Saccharomyces cerevisiae S288C: one gene and its partner. The protein of the gene in region 2 binds, or shares a complex with, the protein of the main gene of each other region. Each region holds a gene or a part of one and is shown on either strand. Other genes may lie near its edges. A codon is read from its position in the direction of its gene.

Region 1 (4,071 bases), on a different chromosome or scaffold from region 2:
CCTCTAAGGCATCACTGTTAAAAAAGTAATTGTAGCACTTCTCTGAGATATGAATGACCATATCCCACAAATCTTGGAAACTCTTATAAAATTTTGTAATATTGCAGTCATATTCATAAAAGATCATTTCTCCGTGCAGCAAACTTAGTGAGAATAAATCTATTATCCATTCCATTTCGAAATCAAAATGACGCATTGTTTCTTTTTCGTTTTTCGACAGGCTTTTTAAAATATGAAAGTTTCTTTTTAAATCATTTATTAGTCGGTGCAACAAGTTCAAATCTACCTTTCCTGGATCATCGTTCAACGTATCGTTTATCTTTTTCATCAAGTTATCCAGGGTTAACATTCGTATATACCATGTGGGTGTATCTGCTTCTTCTTTGAAATGGCACTGCAAGGTTTTCCCAATTTGACATTCTTCACCGCTAATAAAACACATCTTCCTGTCCCAAAATAAAACATAACTCCATATCTTTCTGAAAACTGAAATGTAATCGCTAGGTTTCATTATATCGTATGAAGGCCTCGTATGTCGGTTTATTTTAAATGAATATTTTTCTGGATGAGAGAAGCAATACCAGTTAATGCCCATTTCTTTACATGATGATATTATTGTCCCCATTAAGATTTGACAATATTGAGTTTCGGGTCCATCGCCATCTTCAGGGGCACACCAGTGCAAGAACCTTAGTAATATGAGACATTGCAACTGTAATAAATTACATTTTCTGAGGACCTTCGTCTCGAACAAATAGTGTTTAACAAGAGCCAAAAACTTAGAGGTATCAATTTCTTGAAGAACCGGGTATATATATGGAGTTAGCTTCGAAAACTGGACAGAAAGTCGGCATATTTTAATAATCAACAAGATTATGCAGAAAACCATATGATCGTAGTGTTTTATAGAAATTGGATTCCCTTTCTCGACTATATTTTGATAAAATATCGTTATTTCATGACGCAAAACTTTCATATCGAAAATCGGTATCATATTGTAAATTTTTTCTTCAAAAAGTGCTAAAACCTCACTTTCAAGTATTTTTAAAGGAGGCAAATAATCCTTTGCTAATATAGTTTCTGAGCTGAATTTTTTAGCATTATTTTCTCTGTATTGAGCGAATTTGTTAAACAATGATTTGTGAATAGTCTGATGCATGCGGAAGTTATTGCCCTTACCAACAACATCATCGCTAATGTGGCGTTCGTCATCAGCATCGAAAGTGGATAAAGCTTCGAAAGATTTAGGCAAGCTTCCATTTTTCACATTATTGCCGTTGCTTCCCAATTTATCCATCATTTTTTTGATTGCGATACTTCTAAATGTTACCATTGCTTGGAGATAGGGGTCGCGATTTTCAATTGCTCTATCCGTGAACAGACCAAATAAATTATCAGCAGACCTTTTGGTCTCTAAATAAAACCCATTAGGGATGAGGTCAATAAAAAATGGAGTTTCTTCATGAATTGGTAGATAATAAAGTGATGATTGATTTTCAAGTTCTCGTACTCTTTGCCAGTGATCTTCGTCTTGTCTTGTCTGTGACGATCTTCTTTTCTTAATGAAACCTGGACTTATTCGTTCCGCAGGAGTTGATTGTTTCCTCAGAGGGTCAGCATCATTCAATGAAGGACTGCTTTCAGGTTGTCCAGAGCTATCGGTGAGATAGACACAGCTGTCCACATCTCCCAGTCGTACACATGTTCCACATGGTTTCGTTCGATCGCACTTACTTTTCCTTTTTTTGCAATTTGTGCATACTACAGTAATTCGATGTCGTTTTTTTGTCCTAACTTGGGAGTCATATCCCATTATGAGATCAGTTGTCAACTAAAGTCTGGTATCAATTGGTTTCTAGTTTCTTTCTTCTCTTCATAGACTCATAACACTGCAAAATCGCAACAATAAATTCATGACTTATTGTTATGCAAAAAATTACCCGAATGTGAAAGATTAATAAGCTCATCGCAGTCGCAGAAAGAGTGAAAAAAATACCTAAGAATGCCTAAATTAGCTTAAACAAAAGTCATTTCTAGAAAGCAATGAAAAAAGGGCAATCTAATGATACCACCACGAATCGTTCCATGGAGGGATTTTGCTGAACTAGAGGAGCTGAAACTTTGGTTTTACCCGAAAAGCAAAGGAACCATTGAAGATAAGCGACAGCGTGCAGTGCAAAGAGTACAGAGCTACCGACTAAAGGGTTCCCAATATTTACCTCACGTGGTGGACTCTACAGCACAAATAACATGTGCGGTATTGCTAGACGAAAAGGAAGCGTGTTTAGGAGTACATCAGGATTCTATTCCTATCCGGTTATCGTATGTAATGGCTTTGATTCGGTTTGTCAATGGCTTATTGGATCCAACGCAACAATCTCAGTTCGCTATTCCCTTACACACATTAGCTGCTAAAATTGGACTGCCGTCCTGGTTTGTTGATTTGAGACACTGGGGTACACATGAGAGAGATTTACCTGGATTAGAAATGCTTCGTTGGGCCGCCAATGAAGCGTTATCTTGGCTATATGATCACTACTGGAACGATGAGGAATTAGAAGATGACAGGGATGATGATGACGATGATGATGATACCGGTTACGGATACAGAAGAAATGATAAACTGGAGAAATATATGGAGTCATTAACTAAAACACTTGATAAATGGAAGCGACTTAGAAACGAGTTTCTGGAATACAAATGGGTGTGGGAGAATGCAAACGATAGTTTAATTACAAGTAGTAACTTTTCTGGGGATAATTTGGTGAACTATGATGCCGAAAAGAGGAAAAGTTCACACGCAAGTTCATCAGAAACTATGATCAGGGAAAATTTGCGTCAATGGCAAGAACTTTGGAAATTATCCATTTATCACAATGTGGTTCTTGAGAAATTTTTTAACAATTATGACCCACTTTTACTCAAAGTTTTAATGCTTAATTTGAACAATTTTGATTGGAAGGTCATTGAGTGGGTAGCTAGGAATTACAGAACCCAACAAGATGATAGTAATATAACGACAATTTTAAAAAGGAAATTCAATGCCTGGAAAGAACTACAAAAAAGGCTGTTAGATGTTATTATAAATAACCTTAACAATAAAAATTTTAAAAATAAATGGCAAAATTGGGAGAAACTTATTGATGAAAATGCGTCATACTTGATATTGTATTTTTGCCAATCTATGCTGGCCAAACTAGAGACTGAAAAAATTACTGGTAACTCATGGAGAAACAAAAAACGGAGAAAACAAATTGATAGCACAGTGGAAATCGAGGCAAAACTGAAGGAAAACATAGACAATTTATCATTAAGGTTTAATGAAGGTGAAATAAAGCTGTATGATTTTATTCCTGCGGAAAAAGATTCCGTTCCATTGAAGAAGGAAGTGAGTCCGGCATTAAAGGCTGATACCAATGATATACTAGGCGATTTGGCGTCTTTGAAACAGAGAATGAGCAGTTTCGGAACAGTAGGTAAAAAAAATAAACAAGAGGAGAACAGAGCTACACCAGTAAAAAATTGGTCAAGGGTTCAAAATTGGAAACCCAAACCCTTTGGTGTCCTGTAACCTGTTTCCAATGCTCGTTATAAATACGTTGTAGACTATAAAGCTGAGTTGTATGCTGCACCCTAACGTGCATGTATATATAATCACAGTCTCTTTAACCTAATATGCAAACGAAAATGATTTAATCAAAACAACCTCATACTCTATGGGAATAATCTTTCAAGATACCGGTCATATGAGTGTTAGTAATCTTACCCTTTCTTTGTCTCTTCTTTTTAACTTCAACTCTCTTTGTTTGTCTTTTGATAGTAGCAGGATCGACACTAGCAGGCTTTAGACCTAAATCTTGCAGCTTTCTTGGCAATTCTGCAAATTGCGGTAATTGCACATTTTCCCACATTTTAACAAACTCCTCGTCAATACATTTCAAGTTACCACCGCTGTTATACCAAACGTATCTTGGAGTTTTATCCTTTTTAGTTCTTAACACCAAAATTTTGCTGTCTTCCTCCAGTTGGTTAATCGTTTCATCGCATTGTGGCCAACCGTCTTTCAAGTCT
Region 2 (4,435 bases):
AATACTGAGGAAAAACTAGATATTATCAAAACTTTGACCAAATCACACGGAACACCTCTGAGTAGCGATGTTGATTTTGAAGAAATTATCAGAAATGAGAAGTGCAACAATTTTTCAGGCGCTGACTTGGCTGCTTTAGTCAGGGAGAGTTCAGTCTTGGCTCTAAAAAGGAAGTTTTTTCAGAGCGAAGAAATACAATCTGTTCTTGATAATGACTTAGACAAGGAATTTGAGGATCTATCGGTTGGCGTATCTGGCGAAGAAATTATTGTGACCATGTCTGACTTCCGAAGTGCATTAAGAAAGATTAAACCCTCTGTGAGCGATAAAGATAGACTGAAATATGATAGATTAAATAAGAAAATGGGTTTAACGGAGGAGATGAAGGATGCGGAAGAAATGAAACAATAAATTTATAAATAATATTTTGGTAAAGTCCCTAGAAGTTAGTATGACTTAGATATTGAAGGAATATGAGTATACATAACAAATATATAAAACTTTGCATGATTTTTGTGTATCCTCTATCTTTCACTATTAAAAAATGTACGATTACCTTTTCTTTCTATCTTTTCATGAATTGGCCACGTCTCATGACGTTCTTACGAACTTTCCACACATGTTCCAATTTTTTCCTTCTTTCAAAAGTTGCGAACGGTATTTGTATATTATCATCCCATGTAATTGTGCGGGGGGATGGAAGAAAGTCACAAAAAGGAGTTTCCGTCTTATTTCTTACTATTATCCATTGAGCATCCTCAGGTTGTTTATCTAAAATCTGGGTATGGCAAGGTGGCACGTAAATGTTCATTATTTGCTGGGAGGTGTCAATAGAGTGTATCAGCCCCAGAGTTATGAAATTTTTAGAAGAAGAAGTACACGATTGTAGGATGGGAAAGGTATTCAAGGATTTCACCTCTAGTGAGTCTTCTCCAGAATATGTATATATCCCAATGACAGTACCTTCCAATGCGGACTTGATATCTTGAGGATTCAGATCCTGGAATTCCATAGGAAATTGAATGCCTTTAATACCGCTTTTACCTTTGCCATATGAAATTTGCAAAGGTGCAGATTTTAAAAGAGGCGCAAAATCATAATCAAATTGAGTTATTTTATGAAACAGTGCCAGTATTTTGAATGTTCTCAGTTGTGATGCATGGAACCTAGAAGATAAGGTGTGGTTCAGACTATGGGCTGGAACGCGAACAACTTCAGGTGCATATGCATCTCGTAGTGATGTGGAAAAACTCTGTGGAATTGTTAGTTCATCCAGGTGTCTTTTCGAATTAGCTGTTTCCAAAAACAATAAGTGAGTGGGCTTATATTTCCTTATTATATGATTTAAAATCTGCATCCCGAATCCTTTTATCCACCCAGGTAGATTAAGCAATGACGTTCCGAAGAAGGCTTGCTCTTCCAAATGGTCTATAAGTTTATCAGCGCAGTTCAGGTATGATGTGGGCTCGTCCTGCGGGGAAGAGGAGCCAGCGTAGAACTGTAACAAAGTTTGGAAATTTGAACCTTGGCAGAGATGTTGTCCGAGAGAAATAGGGCTGGAAAGAATCTTATTCAGGGATATTGAATCAGGTAGTGAGTATTCAGGTTGACCAGGATCTAAATCCAGGTATACCAATTCTTCCTGGCTCGTAGTAGAATCTCGTATATCTTGCGTAAATTTTTCCAATAAAAGCCTCAAGAATGTAGACTTCCCAGAGTTTTTACCACCAATCACCATGATTCTTGTATCATACGCAGCGTTCTTGTGACTCAAATATAACTTCTCTAACGGAGTTGACCAATATCCCGGCACGGATAAAGATTGAATTCGGTCTGACTCATGTAATAAATGATACGTTGTTCTCTCGTTTAATGGAAAGTAAGGTTCTTTAGGTTTCCATAGATAATTAACATCCCGATATAAATGACCTGCTTCTAACAAGCCCGTATGATTAGAATTAAAAACGCGAAGAACACATGGAAATGATTTGAATTCTTCATCTCTAATTTTAAACCTGTTGTTTCTCGGCATAAAAAAAGTGTCTTGCCAGCCTGCAAAGTGCGAAAAATCTATAGTAGGTATGGACTGTGATAACGGGTGCCAGAAGGTTAAAATTTCTCTCGAAGCGTTATAGTGTACATTGTTGTAGACAATACCTCCTTTCACCACTTGCAGCCGGAAAACACCAGATAAATGTAACTTCTGTTTTTCTTTCAACCCCACAAACATAGTTTCATCTTCATCTCCTTCATACGTTATATTATCGATCAATTCAGCATCCAGCCCGTTCAAGTCATCACCTTCGTCGTCCTCATACTCTTCACTATTGAGAACTACGGTTGCACTTTTTGAAGATGGAATTGACGGAGATTCCACAATGAAATTATTACTTGAGTCTGAGTCCGATTCTGAACCTGAATCTTTGGTATATTGAGGTAGATCCTGTTTGGAATCTATCACCATAGCGGTAGAATATAATAGAAATGATTATCTTCTTCTCTCTGCCAAACTAAACTGCAGTCTTTCCTTATTTCAGAAGGGAAAGATCAGGAGTGGGGAACCTATACTACCTGCACTATAAGCGTGAATTAAGACAACTTAAATGCAACCTAAGCCTTAGGCGCAGAGCACTCGATGACTTGGCAGGAATAAATTTCATGTTGATAAATTTCGTACTTTTTCGGGTAGCAGCGGTGAAAAATTCGTAAGGGCAATTTTAGAAAGATGCAAACTTTCCAAGAAATATTAAAGACCAAAACATAGCCAAGAAAGCCAACTAGGGAACAATGCTTTGTGCTATTAGTGGGAAAGTTCCTAGAAGGCCAGTTCTATCACCTAAATCCAGGACTATTTTTGAAAAGTCGCTCCTTGAACAGTATGTTAAAGATACGGGGAATGATCCGATAACAAATGAGCCCTTAAGCATCGAAGAAATAGTGGAAATCGTACCTAGTGCGCAACAAGCCTCACTAACAGAGTCTACAAACTCTGCTACGTTAAAAGCGAATTATTCGATTCCGAATCTGTTGACAAGTTTACAGAATGAATGGGATGCTATAATGCTCGAAAACTTTAAGTTACGATCAACTCTAGATAGTTTAACGAAAAAACTGTCGACTGTAATGTACGAAAGAGATGCTGCAAAGTTGGTCGCTGCGCAACTATTGATGGAAAAAAACGAAGATTCGAAGGATTTACCCAAATCCTCACAGCAAGCGGTAGCTATTACGAGAGAAGAATTTTTACAAGGGCTGTTACAATCTTCTAGAGACTTTGTAGCGAGGGGCAAGCTCAAAGCACCCAAATGGCCGATTTTAAAAAATTTGGAGCTATTACAGGCACAAAATTACTCCCGTAACATCAAAACATTCCCATATAAAGAGCTTAACAAATCTATGTACTATGATAAATGGGTGTGCATGTGTCGCTGTGAGGATGGTGCTTTACATTTTACCCAATTAAAAGATTCGAAAACGATTACCACAATAACTACACCAAATCCCCGTACCGGGGGAGAGCATCCAGCTATTATTTCCAGAGGGCCTTGTAATCGTTTGCTACTACTATATCCAGGTAACCAAATAACTATATTGGACTCAAAAACAAACAAAGTCCTCAGAGAAATAGAGGTAGATTCCGCCAATGAGATTATATATATGTATGGTCACAACGAGGTCAACACAGAGTACTTCATCTGGGCGGATAATAGAGGAACCATAGGATTTCAATCCTACGAGGATGATTCCCAGTATATTGTTCATTCTGCTAAATCAGATGTTGAGTACAGCAGCGGTGTCCTACATAAGGATTCATTATTATTAGCCCTTTACTCTCCGGACGGTATATTAGACGTTTACAACTTGTCATCACCTGACCAGGCAAGCTCTAGATTCCCCGTAGATGAAGAAGCCAAGATAAAAGAGGTTAAATTTGCAGACAATGGGTACTGGATGGTAGTAGAGTGTGACCAAACTGTGGTTTGCTTTGACCTAAGAAAGGATGTCGGCACGCTAGCGTATCCAACTTACACAATCCCAGAATTCAAGACGGGCACCGTTACCTATGACATTGACGACTCTGGAAAGAATATGATTGCATACTCAAACGAGAGCAATTCGCTGACGATATACAAATTTGACAAGAAAACAAAAAATTGGACTAAAGACGAGGAGAGCGCCCTCTGTTTGCAAAGCGACACTGCCGATTTCACTGATATGGACGTGGTATGCGGAGATGGTGGTATTGCCGCTATTCTGAAGACAAATGATAGTTTCAATATTGTTGCATTGACACCCTAAATACGCTGACACGTTTGTACTTTCTAAATAAACCTGTGTAATAGTAGTAACATTTCCAGTAAAAATTTCATTTCCTTCTCTTTTTACATCTCTAGGACAACGCTTTAGTGAGAAAAAAAAAAAAAGAAAAAAGAAT

What was found. The genes of interacting proteins can lie anywhere in the genome.
Region 1: the proteins of GRC3 (region 2) and LAS1 are in contact, whole or in part, in a crystal structure (PDB 7Y18), measured with the Saccharomyces cerevisiae proteins. Residues at the interface, in NP_013065.1 of Saccharomyces cerevisiae: Glu72 (codon at 2,251), Gly73 (codon at 2,248), Asp74 (codon at 2,245), Glu75 (codon at 2,242), Asp76 (codon at 2,239), Glu77 (codon at 2,236), Thr173 (codon at 1,948), Glu177 (codon at 1,936), His180 (codon at 1,927), Leu181 (codon at 1,924), Arg183 (codon at 1,918), Asn186 (codon at 1,909), Glu200 (codon at 1,867), Arg201 (codon at 1,864), Tyr456 (codon at 1,099), Asp457 (codon at 1,096), Phe458 (codon at 1,093), Ala459 (codon at 1,090), Pro460 (codon at 1,087), Leu461 (codon at 1,084), Leu462 (codon at 1,081), Lys463 (codon at 1,078), Ser464 (codon at 1,075), Ala465 (codon at 1,072), Pro466 (codon at 1,069), Leu467 (codon at 1,066), Gln468 (codon at 1,063), Ile469 (codon at 1,060), Ser470 (codon at 1,057), Gly477 (codon at 1,036); in NP_012989.3 of Saccharomyces cerevisiae: Ile2 (codon at 2,066), Pro3 (codon at 2,069), Pro4 (codon at 2,072), Arg5 (codon at 2,075), Ile6 (codon at 2,078), Val7 (codon at 2,081), Pro8 (codon at 2,084), Trp9 (codon at 2,087), Arg10 (codon at 2,090), Asp11 (codon at 2,093), Arg36 (codon at 2,168), Gln39 (codon at 2,177), Arg40 (codon at 2,180), Gln42 (codon at 2,186), Ser43 (codon at 2,189), Tyr44 (codon at 2,192), Arg45 (codon at 2,195), Leu46 (codon at 2,198), Lys47 (codon at 2,201), Gln50 (codon at 2,210), Tyr51 (codon at 2,213), Leu52 (codon at 2,216), Pro53 (codon at 2,219), His54 (codon at 2,222), Val55 (codon at 2,225), Arg94 (codon at 2,342), Asn97 (codon at 2,351), Gly98 (codon at 2,354), Leu99 (codon at 2,357), Asp101 (codon at 2,363).

What each region holds. Positions count from the first base shown.
Region 1 is NC_001143.9:560,289-564,359, reverse strand, and holds LAS1 (rRNA-processing protein LAS1), read left to right. Parts: upstream 1-2,062; coding exon 2,063-3,571; downstream 3,572-4,071. Other genes in the region: OAF3 (Oaf3p), read right to left, coding at 1-1,813; transcription factor TFIIE subunit TFA2, read right to left, coding at 3,708-4,071. UniProt on the Saccharomyces cerevisiae protein: Regulates cell surface growth, bud formation and morphogenesis. May act indirectly by regulating factor(s) involved in these processes.
Region 2 is NC_001144.5:66,609-71,043, reverse strand, and holds GRC3 (polynucleotide 5'-hydroxyl-kinase), read right to left. Parts: upstream 2,465-4,435; coding exon 566-2,464; downstream 1-565. Other genes in the region: putative AAA family ATPase RIX7, read left to right, coding at 1-411; E3 ubiquitin-protein ligase PRP19, read left to right, coding at 2,788-4,299. UniProt on the Saccharomyces cerevisiae protein: Polynucleotide 5'-kinase involved in rRNA processing. Required for the efficient termination by RNA polymerase I and the processing of the IST2 pre-rRNA internal transcribed spacer localized between the 5.8S and 25S rRNAs.